2 linked regions of the Elephas maximus indicus genome follow. The main gene of each other region encodes a partner of the protein of the gene in region 2 in a complex. Links are inferred from orthologs where the notes say so. Each region holds a gene or a part of one and is shown on either strand. Other genes may lie near its edges.

Region 1 (7,362 bases), on a different chromosome or scaffold from region 2:
CTCGGCCCTGCACCCTCCCACCACGCCCCTGCTCCAGCCACCCAGAAGATGCCAGGTGCTCACATCAGAGGCCCCGCAGAGCCCAGAGGGTAACACCACCCTCAGGCCAGGGAGATGGGGTCCCAGCACGCTCACATGCTGAGCAGACCCTCTCAGCCCCCCACCCACAGGCACCTTCAGGTAGGAGCCGAAGTAGCGCGTGATGTAGGGGCTGTCGCACTGGCTGAGTACGGTGATCTCCTGCTGGATGTCCTCGATCTCGTCTTCAGCCTCCTCTAGGTCGATGATCTTGATGGCCACTACCTCCTTGGAGCGGTTGTCGATGCCCTTGTACACCTCCCCGAAGGAGCCCTTCCCGATGCGGTCGAGCTTGGTGAAGAGCTGCTCAGGGTCCACGCGGGAGTGCTGCACAGCAGATGGGGCAGGGCTGCTCAGGACGTCCATCGCATCCCACACCCACGACCGGCCAGCACGCAGGCAGATGCCCTGGCTGGGACAGCAGCTCCACAGCCAGACCCACACCACCGCGAGACAGCCCCGGTGCCTCAACACACTCCTTCCTGTGAAAGAACCTGCATCCACCCTCCGCCCAAGAGTGCGCTGGGTACCACCCACCACTTGCCACATGGGGTCAGGGACGCCGAGGGGGGCAGTGCATGAGAACGGGTCCCCTGCTCTGCCCCCACAGTGGCCTCCACCCTCTTGTGCGAAGAGAGCCCCAGTCCCTCTACCCCTTAGCAAGGGGTCCCCCAAAATCAGCCCCAGCTTGCCCATACTCTGCCCAAGCACTTCAGTCTTGCAGGTTCAAACATCACAGAAAGTCCTAGTGCCCCTGGTCCTCAGACTTAAAAGGACACCAACCGCCCATTCAGAAAGTGCCCCAGAGCCATGGGCCAGGCCTGGGACACCCCTGCCGGCCCCTCCACTGGTCCCCCCCACTGGCATCGGGGCTTTCTCAGCACCTGGAAGTGAGAATATCATGCTCACTCAGGGCCCTCAGGGGCATCCCACCAAACCACCCACAGGTCTGCCCACGCCACGCAGCCCCCACCCCGCGAAGCCCCGGGGTGACTCAGCAAATCTGGCTGGTGCCCTGAGCTTGCACCCTCTGTCACTCGGAGGACATCGTCCACCTCCTTCTATCACGGCACGAAGATGCCCCGAGGAGGCTGGGTTGTCCCACTTAGCATCTTTAATCAGGCCATTTGTCAGACGTGGAGCGTCAAAGACAAATCCTGACTCTGCTGGCTTGACTCAGCGTTAGCTACACACCCCAGCTGGGCCACAATGGTCCAGGATCCCCTGCCCGGCAACTGTGCCCCACCCTGGCATCGCGGGTTTCAGGCAGGTCCCACAGAGTCCGGAGCTGAGCTGGGACTCCAGCTTCTGTGCCACGTGGACATTCTCCCAGTTTCTCCCGCCGGTCCCTGGCCCAGCACACATCGGGGGCTGCACTTTTAAGAAGCACAGCCGGAAAAACTTGCCCCGAGTCGAGAAGAACAAGACCAATCAGCGAGGATGAAGTCAACACGACAGCCACCACGGGCTCCCTCTGTTCCACTGTCATCCTTGCCCAAGCCCTCCAGTCCCCGCACGCTCCTCAGCACCAGCGGCTGGACGCAGGGCACTCAGTGGGGTGGGCCGTTGGATGGCCACTTCCCAGACAGCAATGCTAGACTCTCAAGGTGGCTCGAGGTGAGAGAAGAACAATCAAAAGAGAAAAACGCCGAGCCTGGTTAGCGGCTCTGCAGAGCGGCCTTCTCTTCACTACTCTCCCTCAAGGAACACATGTGTACACACATCCGCACACAAACACACATGCACGCAGGCGTGTCCTGTCTTCCCTATGCACCAATGCTTACACAAGGACCACCTGGTCAAGCCCCGCTCCTCTCAGGACCTATCAGGGTTCTCCCTACACAAACTGCTGTGTACTAGCCCTGCCTCCCGCCACGCCATAACATGGCCCGATGACCACAATGTGGCCCGATGACCACAATGTGGCCAGATAACCACAACGTGCCCCGATGACCACAACATGCCCCAATGACCACAACATGGCCAGATGACCACAATGTGCCCCAATGACCACAGCGTGGCCAGATGACCACAACATGGCCAGATGACTGCAGGTCAGGCCCAGGCTCCCTATGGATGCTGACCTCTGACTTCACTTGATGCTGAGGTCCAGTTTCCCAAAGGATCCCCACCCAGTGCCCAGCCCCGCCCAGCCCTGAGGGCGCACCCCGTCCCCAGATAAAGCGTCTCCTCCCACACTGCTCTCTAAACCGCAGAGAGCCACTGGCTCTATTTTAAGACACTCAGAGCTTATGTCACACAAAGGCGTGTACATGGAATAGTCTCCCCAGGTCTGAGCCACCCACAGACCCTGCCACAGGGTTCACCATGAACCTCTCCTCCACACCCAGACCCATGTCCCTCTGGCAAGCCCTCAGGGACACAAGCAAAATGTACCTGGGTCCTCACCCCTCCCAGACTCAGCAGTCAGTGCTCTCTGGGGGTGCACACTGTGCACACACACGCTCATATGTGCATTCATTGGGGTGCACACCCGCTCATGTACATACTCGTACTCATCGGGGGTGCACACCCCTGCATGCACACATATATCTGCATGTCTGGGGTGCACATCCACACATGCACACACTTACACACACGTCCATCTGGGATGCACAGCCATGCACACATGCTCAAACTCACTCGTATTGGGGCACACACCTGCAAATGCACTCATATGCACGCTCATCTGGGGTGCACACCCATGCATGCACACTCATACACTGGTCTGGGGGTGCACACACTCATGCACGCTTGTCTGGGGTGCATACTCAACACACACACACACAACCTTGTCTGGAGGCACACGCAGGCACACACCTACACATGCTTGTCTGGGGTGTACACCCATGCACACGTGCTCAGACTCTCATCTGGGGGCACACACCCGCACACACACACACACTCACATGTACACTTATCTAGGATGCACATCCCCACATGCACACTCACACACTCATCTGGGCACACACAGGCGTGCACACACACACATGCTCGTCTGGGGTGCACACCCACACTCACAAACTCACTTGCCTGGGGGCACACACCCACACATGCACATGCACTCATGCACTCTCGTCTGGGGTGCACACCCACTCACACGCACTCCCATCTGGGGCGCACACCCACACACATGCACTTTTGCCTGGGTACACACATGCTCACACACTTTCATCTGGGTACACATCCACGCACACACATACTCCTGTCTAGGGCGCACACGTGCGTACACACTCGCACACACTCTCGTCTGGGCTGCACACACGCATGCACTCTCGTCTGGGGCGCACACCTGCTCACGCGCACTCCCGTCTGGGGCGCACACCTGCTCACGCGCACTCCCGTCTGGGGCGCACACCTGCTCACGTGCACTCCCCTTCTGGGCTGCACAGACGCGCGCACGCACCACCCAGGCGGCCGCCCCATACCTGGTTGGCAAATCCCCTGAGGTGAGCCATGTCTGCCCGCGGCCGTCACACCATCCGTCCGCAGCCCAACGAGGCGCCGGGATCCGCCTCAGCTCCGGGCCGGCCGCCGCTTCAGTCCACTGCGGGGACAGCAAGCCGCTCGCGCTGTCCGGCCTCCGCCCCCGGCGACCTTCCTCCCGGCCGCCCCCAGCCCCGGGCCCCTGACCCCCAACCGCCCCGGCGCCGCCCCGCCCGGCAGCGGCCCACCTCCGGGGGGCTCCATCCCGGCCTCCCCCGGCCCGCTCCGTTGTGCCCGCGGAGGCCCCACCCGCAGCCCCTGATCTCCGGGAAGCCGCCCCGAGCCCGCGAAGCAGAGGCAGTGGCGGCGCCGGAGAAAGCCCGGCGGAGACAGCGGCAGTGGCGGCGGCGTCGTGGCCCGGCCCGAGGCTCTCTGGGAAACAGAGTCCCGCCACTCGGCCCGCGCCCCGTCGCCGTGCAAGCTAAACTACAAGTCCCGGCAGGCCGCGGGGTGGAAAGGCAGACGGGGAGAGCAGGCCCGCCGCACGGCTCGCTGGGGCTTGGAGTCCTTCGCCGTGAGCCGCAGTGGACTACAAGTCCCGGCAGGTCGCGGGGCGGGTGGGCGGTGTCGTGACGGCGGGGGCGTGGCCTGCGACGGGCATCAGCGCGTCTGGGCGTCGGCGCGTCGGTGCGTCGGCGCGTCGGGCGTCGCGTTTGGCCCGGAGCGCGCCCCCCGGCCTTGTAAGGCGCCCGGCCGCGCCCGTTCCGCTCCCCAGCCGGAGCTGGACCGGATCCCGGGGGCGGCCGCGGCGGCCTCGCCCTTCCCGCCCAGGCTCCCCACCTCCGCTGCCCGGCCGGCCGCACCCTGGACCCCGCGTCCGCACCCTGGACCCCCCCTCCCGCACCCTGGACCCCCCCCTCCCGCACCCTGGACCCCCCCTCCCGCACCCTGGACCCCCCCTCCCGCACCCTGGACCCCCCCTCCCGCACCCTGGACCCCCCTCCCGCACCCTGGACCCCCCCGCGTCCGCACCCTGGACCCCCCCGCGTCCGCACCCTGGACCCCCCCGCGTCCGCACCCTGGACCCCCCCGCGTCCGCACCCTGGACCCCCCCGCGTCCGCACCCTGGACCCCCCCGCGTCCGCACCCTGGACCCCCCCGCGTCCGCACCCTGGACCCCCCCGCGTCCGCACCCTGGACCCCCCCGCGTCCGCACCCTGGACCCCCCCGCGTCCGCACCCTGGACCCCCCCGCGTCCGCACCCTGGACCCCCCCGCGTCCGCACCCTGGACCCCGCGTCCGCACCCTGGACCCCCCTCCCGCACCCTGGACCCCGCGTCCGCACCCTGGACACCCCTCCCGCACCCTGGACACTCCTCCCGCACCCTGGACCCCACGTCCGCACCCTGGACCCCGCGTCCGCACCCTGGACCCCGCGTCCGCACCCTGGACCCCGCGTCCGCACCCTGGACCCCGCGTCCGCACCCTGGACCCCGCGTCCGCACCCTGGACCCCCCCTCCCGCACCCTGGACCCCCCCTCCCGCACCCTGGACCCCCCCTCCCGCACCCTGGACCCCCCCTCCCGCACCCTGGACCCCCCCTCCCGCACCCTGGACCCCCCCTCCCGCACCCTGGACCCCCCCTCCCGCACCCTGGACCCCCCCTCCCGCACCCTGGACCCCCCCTCCCGCACCCTGGACCCCCCCTCCCGCACCCTGGACCCCCCCTCCGCACCCTGGACACCCCTCCCGCACCCTGGACCCCACGTCCGCACCCTGGACCCCCCTCCCGCACCCTGGACCCCCTTCCCGCACCCTGGACCCCCCTCCCGCACCCTGGACCCCCCCCCGCACCCTGGACCCCCCTCCTGCATCCTGGACCCCGCGTCCGCACCCTGGACCCCCCCTCCTGCACCCTGGACCCCTCCCGCACCCTGGACCCCCCTCCTGTACCAGGACTGTCTCCCCTTCCCAACAGGACCCCACTTGTCTGCACCTGGACACTTTAAAACGGTGAATTTTATGATGTATGAATTAGATCTCGATAAAGCTGATAGCAAACAACCGTCTGACTTTTCCTTTAAAAAAGGTAAAACCGATCTCTGTGTCTGGCCAAGTGGAATAACAGAGGTCAGATTTCCCTCCTGCTGGAAACAACCGAAAGATATATGGATATAGATAGGTGATTGATTGATTGATAGATTGGTGATAGATAGGTAATTGATAAATGGCAAGATACATGAAACAATGCTTTTCAAGACAATGACACTAGATAACAAAGCTCAGTGGCTCCTCGTGACAAAACAAGAGGTGTGTTTACTGCTTGCAGAGAGTTACCAAACTGCAGTTGAAAGAGGGGGAACCCAAGGGGAGCCTGGGGTTGAGGATCAGAGTTGAGAGTCCAGGAGGTGGTGGTGGTTAGACTTAGCAGGACAGAGAGACAGGAGAGAACTCTACAGATGTGCAGGAAGCCCCTTGAGTATCCAGCAGTAGTGATCTGCGCCCGACTGTGAGGAAACAACCCCAAACTGGAAAAGAACCGTTTGAAGGTATTAGAGGTGCCCCATGCTCAAGTCAAAGGAGTAGTGTCTGTCCCCACCAGCCTGTGGTGCAGTGAATTACTTAATGTGGCCCTTCTAGCTATAGTCTAGAAACCCTGGTGGCGTAGGGGTTAAGAGGTATGGCTGCTAACCAAAAGGTCGGCAGTTCGAATCCACTAGGTGCACCTTGGAAACCCTTTGGGGCAGTTCTACTTTGTCCTATAGGGTTGCTGTGAGTCAGAATTGACTCAATGTTACTGGGGTTTTAGCCATAGTCTTTGTAACTCGCACCAAATGACTGGGTGAGGACTATGCAAATGAGGTGCTTGTGGCCCACCAAGGGGATTGGATAGCTTGCTAGTAATGTAAATAAGGTGTACTGCACCCTTGGGGGGGGGAGGGACCATGCAAATATGGTGTCTGGAGTCCTAATGAGGGGATTGGTCAGTTTTGCCATCCCCTAGGCTTAAAGAGGAGACAGGGGAGAGAGAGAGAGAGAGAAGCTATAGCACTGAAGACAGAGGCAGCAGAACCAGGACAGAGAGGGACAGCGCTAACACTGGAGATGGTGAGAGACGGTGAGAAGCGGCAGCAGAGAAACGGCGGCAGCAGAACCAGGAGGAAGCATGGGGAGCTTACTGGCCCACAGAGCGAGAAAACTGAGCACCTTCGGGCACAGGGCTTACCAGTGGGGCAGGGTACCTCTAGGCACTTATGGCAGAGCTAAAAAAGCTTTATAACAGTTGCCCCAGAGGCCGAGGGGCCAGAGAGAGGTGTGCCTGCAGCCTGGCAGAGGAGAGGCTGTCCTGATGGAAGAACTGTATCCTGAGTGAACCTGAATTGTAATGCGTTACTTCCCTAATAAACCCCATAACTGTGAGTATGGTCTGTGAGTTCTATATGGCCATTGCTACAACTGAACCCAGCAGGGAAGTAGGGAGTACCAAGTAGGGAGGACAGTTCGTGTCAGAATTAGTAAAAAGCCTGGCAAGAGGAGGTGCGTCTGACTTCTACCTCAAAGCAATCAGCCTTGGTTTGTTGATCTTGATTCTCCTTCCCCCTTGTGAAATTTAGAGGTGGTTAGATGCCTGCACTACACCATTTTTACAGACAGACTGGACAACCTCATAATTCACAGGGCAGTGGGTAGAATACTCAGGGAAATCTTGCCTCAGTGGCATTAGCATTGCCAGGGTTAGCAAATGATAACAGGATGCCGAGTTATTTGAATGCCAGACAAACAACAAAGAACACTTTAGTATAACTACGTCCCAGGTGTTAAAAGGGATATACCTGTACTAAAACATTACAAATTGTT
Region 2 (7,362 bases):
TCAGAAACTCTGGTTGAAGGGCAGGAGTGTGAACAGATATGAAAGCTACCTACAACCTGCATCCATATCTGGTTTATGTAAACAGACAAGAAGAGCCCTTAGCTGACCTCTAGAAAAATGAGACCAGCAAAAACAAAAGAGAGGACTGGATTCTAGCCTCAGCTGTCATTAAGCCACTGTGGGACCTGGGTAAGTCTCTTTCTGTGGACCATAGTTTCTCATTATAATAATATAGTTCAGCTCTAATGTTCCATGACTTTAGGACTCTCAAACAGAGTAGCATTTCTACTCCAAGTTGTATTAAAGGCTAGATTTCCTACGATGTTGTCTATGTACATTTATAATTCCATTTAAAAAATATTTTTAATATAATTTCACCCCCTACATTTTTTAAGCATTTTAGGGTATTTCCTGCTAGTATATATTACATATAATTTTTTAAATTTTGGAGTCTCAACTCTGTCATACACTAGCTGTGTGATCTTGGGAAAATTACTTAACTTCTCTGTGCCTGTTTTCTCATCTATAAAATGGAGATAATAATAGGACTTACTTCATAGGGTTATTGTAAGGACTAAATGAGTTAATACAGGAAAAACACTTAGAACATCACCTACAACTTAGTAGCACTATATAAGCAGTTAACTATTCTTATTCTGCTTACAATTTTAATATCATTTTATAAAGATATTTTCTCATGTTATTGTGACTATCACTTTATTTTTGTGTATGTGACTATTACTTTAAACAGTTAGTTAAGTGGATAGATACCTATTGGTACTTAACCAGTTCCCTACTGTTGAACATTTAGGTTGTTTTTAATTTTCCTTTACTACATGCACAAAGCTTTAATACACTTATAAATTTTTCTGTATTTAGAATCTTTCCCAAGGATAGGTTCTTAGAATTAATACATCAAACCTGATGCATATTTTTATGGCTCTTTGTTCACAGAAAGTTGTTTTCCAAAACCGTTGTACATAGTGAACAAAGCAAATTGTGTTTACATCTACTACGGCAAAGACTTCTATACTTCTGGATTGCAGAAACCAGTAGAAATTAAAACTAAAAAAAAAAAAAAATTGGGGGACTAGGGAATGATATAGGGCCATTTATGTTTTATTTTGATACATCGGGACTTAAAAATATTTTTTCAGAAAACATATTTCAAAAAGAAAGAATACTTTAATGTCCCCCAAATTGGAAGGACATAGGCCTAGAATACAGGACAACCATTAAAAGCAGCGTTTTTCAAACTTTTTTTTGACCTTAAAGTATAAATACATTTTACATCAAGTCTGAACACACACACACATATAAAACGGGAGCAAAAGTTTAATATTTATTCTTTCTATGTGTGATTTACTCTGATATGTTCTATTTTATTTGATTTCTTAAAAAAAAAAAAATCCTGGTCCCAACTCACAGCTTGCTTCCCACAGTTTGAAAAACATTGTTTTAAATTGTATACATCCTTTAAATTTAATACAGTGAACTACGTTTTTTGAAAAACTCACTTCCATGCCACGAATTTTCCTGATTTTGCCATAGACCAGTGCAAACTTTGTCAAGGACCTTGGGAACCAGTAGACCAGAGGATCTGGTTGCAAACAGGCCTGCGGTGAATCCTTTTGTTAGGTTAAGAATCTTTTCACTAAGGAAACAATTATTGTCTAGCTTCCTTTCTAGGCTGAGATTTTCATACAGTAAGCCACTGGGAGAGAGGAGGCCAAAAGTGTCCCTGTAAAACCGGCGGTGTACAAGGAACAAGGCTTATGCCATCAGAAACTCTCTTCTAGTAATTACTGAGAAGCCCAAGGGAGGAAAGAAAACCATCTTCCCTGAGGACTATCTTCTATAAAAAAAAAAACTATAGGAAAGCAAAAAGAAGGAGGGAAGGGAACACAGATAGTCATCTGAGCCTGGCACCTGGGTGCTGTGGTGACAGGGGAGGTACTGACAGGTAGAAGCAGGTCTCCTGCTGCAGCGAAAGTGGAGGGAAGCTAATCTTCCCAGCCAGCCTTTTGGCAGGCAATGACCACAGATAGCGGTGATCACTGCAGTTGCTGGTTTCCAGGCATGCATGGGAAGTGCAGCTGCGGGCAGTCAGGAGGTAACTGCGGCGCAGGTGGAAGGCTCGGAGTCCCTGGGTGCGGAGCTCATGCAAAGTGGGGACATGAATTCTTGTCTGAAGGGGCTGCAGCAGTTAATAGAGATGATATTTGTAAAGTATCTGGTATGCTCATGCAGTGCCATCAGTGCCTGGTGCTGAAGGAAGGCTTGAGATGCACGGAAGAGGCTCCTACCTCAGAAGGGCGATCTGGCACCTATCGCTCTGAAATTATTTTGATTTTTTTCCTTGAATATTATCTGCCTCCCCCCACTACTGTTTGTTCCACAAGGGCAAAAGACCTTGTCTTGTTCACTGGTGTATCCCTAGCACTTAACACAATACCCAGCATATAGAGACCAAACCAAAACCAAACCCATTGCCGACTCCTAGCAGCCCTATAGGACAGAGGAGACTTGCCCCATAGGGTTTTCAAGGAGCGGCTGGTGGATTTGAACTGCTAACCTTTTGGATGGCAGCCGAGCTCTTAACCACTAAGCCACCAGGGCCAAAAGAACTCAATAATTGTTGCATTAATGAGTTAACTAACCCCTCAAAAAAAAATTTTTTTTCCCAGCAAGAAAAATGTCTCTGTGAAAGGAGGCACAGGGTGCCCTAAAAAAGCCAGGTTGGTTCTGAGGCAGGGGGTGGACAATGTGGTAGACAATACACTGACCTAGCAAGGCAAAAGGGCTCCTGTACAACCAAGCTCTGTCTCTGCAAGGTGATGTGACTTTGGGCCAGTCTTTTCACTTCCTCCACTTCTATTAAAAAAAAAAAAACAGAGTGGGTTCCTACTATGCTTATTATGGAAAACAGAAGCATACAGAAAACCATTTTGTTAACTTTAAAGTGCTATTCAAATAATTAGCTGTAAATGACAAAGACCTGGCTTCTAGTACCACCTCTGCCACGTGGTGGTGGTGGCAGTGATGATGATGACAATGATAGTAATACAGTACTAAGAGCTACTACGTACTGACCAATTACATCGTGCCAGCATGATTTTAAACTTTTTCCATCCAATTATCTCATTTTAACTTTATCGCAACCTTCTGAGGTAGACAGTGTTAACTCCATTATACAGATGAAGAAACTGGAACTTAGAGTGGCTCGGTAATTTGCTAAAAGTCACACAGATAGTAAAGGGTAGGGCTAGGATTCAAACCCTGGTCTAACTGACCAGGAAGCTGGTGCTCCTGGCCATTACACCAGATGTATGATCTCAGGCAAGTCACTTCTGTCTCTTCCATCTGTAAAATGAAAGGGCTACACCAGATGACTCTACAGACCCTTTTATATCTGACATTTTGTGGTTCTATTAGCTTGATCCATGCTCAGATTCAGTTCTACTCTTGCCTATTTGATGAAAACTGGCCTGTTTGCAGGGTGAAGGGGGGTGGGATGACAATTATTCACTTCTTTCATCTTCCTAGTTAGGATTTCTTTTCAGGAGAAGAGGTAGTACCCAGTCTCCTAACTGTGGGTTTGAGTCCTGGGACTGTTCCATCCAAATACTCATGTACAGCCTGGCCTAATCCTGTCTTGATTAACCCTTACAGGTGGGGATCCTCACGTTTGTGGACAGCACCTCCTAAAGAGCCTAACAAGGCAGAGAGGAAGGCCAGCTCTGGGACCCTGTGGAGCCTTGGAGGAGGGGGGCGACTGCCCCCCAACTCCGACCCCTCTATTCTGAGGCTGAGCTCTAGCCTCCCCGCCGTGGGGCCAGTCACTTCACCAGCTCCCTCGGTTTGTCCTCAGTAAAATGGGAATAGGAGCTCCTCCCTCAAGGGGCTGCAGCGATTGACTGAGAGAACATCGACGAGTGTCTGGTACTCTCCACGCGCTACATCTTCGCGCCCCGGAGGAAGGCCAGAGACTAGAAAGCCCCCGACCCGCTGCAGGAGGCATATGGAGGGGGTCACCGGCCGCAGAGCCCGAACTCTAGAACCCCGCTGGCGCCCCTCGAGGGGCCCCGGGGCGGGGTGCTGGGGCCTCAGGGAGCCGGGGTCTCGGGGCCGGGGCGAGGGGCCCGGGGTCTCGGAGCACCGGGGCGAGGGGCCCGGGGTCTCGGGGCCGGGGCGAGGGGCCCGGGGTCTCGGAGCACCGGGGCGAGGGGCCCGGGGTCTCGGAGCACCGGGGCGAGGGGCCCGGGGTCTTGGGGGCCGGGGGCGTCGGGGCCCGGGGCCCAGGGTCTCGGAGCACCGGGGCGAGGGGCCGAGGCTCTCGGGACGCCTGGGACCCCGGGGCGGGGGAGGGGTCGGGCAAAATCACCTCAGCCGCCGCGTCCCGCCCGCGGTGTCTCCCCGGCCCCTCACCTCCGACTCGCGCCGCTGGCTCCGGAACGCCTCTTGGCTCTTGGGCGCTGCCTGCTTCGCCTTGCCGCCGTTGCTGTTGCCGTTGGCGGGAGGGCTCCCGGCCCTAGCGACAGCCGGCTCCTCCATTCCGCCCTGCTCGGCGCCCTGCGCGCTCTGCCTAGGGCGCCCCTGCCGCCGCGCGCTGCGAGCCCGACCCCGCCCCTCCGCAGCGATTGGCTGAGGCCGCTCGCCGCAGCCCCGCCCCGAGACTCGATTGGCTGTCCGGCGGCTCCGAGAGGGACTGGGACGAAGTGGGGCTCATTCAAGGGATACTGCGGCGTCGCTGGGAGCCGGAGCCTGGGGGGCTGGCTCCCCGCTCCACCTCCTGAATTCTGGGCCTTGAGCTCACGCAGGGTATCTCTGTTTCTCGTTTCCTGTTAGGGGAGCCCTAGTTTCCGTCTCCTGCCGCACTGCAGTCTGCTTTTCCATTATCGCAGACCCCTGCCCCTCAAACCCTGGCTCCTGCAAGCGTCCCAAATCCCGCTTCTGTCGCAGGGAGACATGGCACCGCCAGGTGGCCGGGGATCCTGCAGAACAGGAGGATCTCGGCCTTCATCCTCCCTGCAAGCTGAAATTTTTGAAGGGAACGCATCACTCCCCTCCCCTGAAGCGACGGCTTGGCTGGGAGACTAGGGAGCTGCGGGGTGGGGTCACGTTTTTAGTTTACAGAGATTGCTGAACGCTCTGGAAATTGAGGGCTGCTCCTGGTCATCTCTCTGCTTTTCCTTGCTGTTCTGGGGCGCCTTCCTCATGGTGTGAGTTAGGGAGTAAATGCTGAATGGAGATCAAACCACTAACCCCACTGGCTTCCCAGCCTTTTCCTTCCTTTTCCTCTCCTTCGTAAGGCTCGGGGTTACCGGGAGGGCGTGGTGGGGGGTGGGGGCAGTTGAGGCTGTGTGGACTGCCCTCTTTCGAATTTACCTAAAAAGCAACTTACAGTGAACATCTAGGGCAGTCTAGATTGGTCATAGGAGTCCCCAAACAACCCCCCAGAGGAGAATGGGTGACACCAAATCACCATCCACAGCCAGGAAGAGGTTGTGGGGGGGACTGCTGAGCTGAACCGCCCTCTGTGCCAGACCCTGCACTAGGCACTTTCTAGGTATCATATCATACCTCTCTCTCATAGGTTGTTTTCACTAACCTAATGTTACTTATGAGGAAACCAGGACTCACTGAGAACAATTACTCCTTGCAGTTCCCAAGGTATCTTACTCTTTCTTGTCTCAGTGTCTTTGAGTATGCTGTCCTGTCTGAGGGAAACTTTCTGTACTCTTGGTTGACTCCTTCCTTAAAGGTTCTACGGAGGCATCACTTCCTCCTCTGGGAAATCTTCCTTTGACCCTCCTCAACCCACTCAGGCTGGGCTGGCATCCTGCCTGGATTGAAAATCCTTACATTTTCTCCAAAGCAAGGGCACCAAAAGAATTACTCTTCCTTCTCATGTCTTGGGGACAACTCTAACCCATTCCTAACCATATCTCTCCCTCATGCTTCCCTCTGCTAGTCTGTAGGGGACAGATCAAGGCAGAGTTGAGAAGGGGCACTTCTTACAGCTATCTGGGTTCTTTTCTTTCCCTGCTCCCCAGCATCTCCTTATTGTACCCACCCGTTTCCTTTTTCTTTTCCCACCCCCCACTCCTCTATCATCCCACCCCCGCAAACCTGGATATATAAACTCCTTGAGAGTAGGGCCAAGTCTTGCTCATTTTTGTATGTTTCATTTCTCCATGTTAAACATATGGCTTCTTAATTTCTGTACTGTTGACATTTTGGGCTGGATAATTCTTTGCTGTGGGGAGCTGTTCTGTGCATTGTAGAATGTTTAGCAACATCCCTGGCTTCTGCTCACTAGATGCCAGCAGCACCTGCTCTCTCTGTGACAACAAAAAAGTCTTCAGACATTGCCAAATGTCCCCTGGGGCCAAACTCTTCCCAACAGAGACCCACTAGTTTAGTAGAATCAAACTGGTTTGAATTTCAAAAAAAGGCCCTGGCTCAAGGCCTAAGCTACTTGATTTTGGAATTTCTGGGGGATGGGGGCATAATCTGCACAACTCTTAAGAGATGCATGCTCTGCTTTAAAATTCACAGCCCACGCCTAGCTCATCACTGCTTTAGCGTGGTAAAACCTGCCACAGCACAGCCCATGGGGGCTTCTTAATAAAGAGAATTAATTATTCTACCTTCCCTTTTCCTAATACCTCTCTTCCTAGCAGCCAGAGCTAGGACTGATGGGCTGAAAACTTCACATTCTCTATGTGAACCTAGTCAACCAGCAGGACCCCCAGGAGAGACAGCAGATAGGAGGGGCCAGTTTTGAGGCTTTTTTCTTTCTCCTGCCTATCCTTGGGGAGAGTAATTTTCACCTGGGAGGAGAGTTGAGGACCCTCTCAAGTCCCCTCTGGCCTTCATCTCTAGCCAATTGCTGAGCCTAGAGCTCCATCTGGCTTCACTTTTGAAGAGATTTGAAAAAGTGGTGCTATGGAGACTGCAAAGAATCAATGGAGGAGAGACCTCACTCCATTATCTTTTCCACCCCCTAGAGGAATGGGAGACAGTAAAGATCAGACAGTCTGCTCATTCATTACAGACCCAGACTTTCAGAGCTTGTCATAAGATAGAAGGCATCTGGAAATAAGGCCTGTAAGAAATAACAAGAAACCAGAGATGAATTGAAAACTTTGAAACTATAGGCCATGGAATTGGCACGTACTCCCTTTCTTTTAGCTTATTTGTCAAGAATGACAGCCATCAATACTATTGACCACAGAGGCAGCCATAAATATATATCTAAGAGCTAATTAGTCAGGCCCTGGTCTACAAGTCTTGCCATCTTAGGGATGGCTCCAGTGCTGTTAATTTTAAGGCAGATGGACCTGCACTGCCAATTTT

What was found.
Region 1: STRIP2 (region 2) and STK25 share a complex: the UniProt entries of both Homo sapiens proteins name them as parts of the core of STRIPAK complex. The link is inferred for Elephas maximus indicus from reciprocal best matches to the Homo sapiens genes STRIP2 and STK25.

The regions. Positions count from the first base shown.
Region 1 is NC_064824.1:143,369,693-143,377,054, forward strand, and holds the start of STK25 (serine/threonine-protein kinase 25), read right to left. Parts: upstream 3,925-7,362; 5' UTR 3,814-3,924; exon of another isoform or gene 3,753-3,813; intron 3,626-3,752; 5' UTR 3,537-3,625; coding exon 3,507-3,536; intron 406-3,506; coding exon 175-405; intron 1-174. UniProt on the Homo sapiens protein: Oxidant stress-activated serine/threonine kinase that may play a role in the response to environmental stress.
Region 2 is NC_064826.1:20,705,614-20,712,975, forward strand, and holds the start of STRIP2 (striatin-interacting protein 2), read right to left. Parts: upstream 4,594-7,362; 5' UTR 4,555-4,593; coding exon 4,429-4,554; intron 1-4,428. UniProt on the Homo sapiens protein: Plays a role in the regulation of cell morphology and cytoskeletal organization. Required in the control of cell shape. Calmodulin-binding scaffolding protein which is the center of the striatin-interacting phosphatase and kinase (STRIPAK) complexes.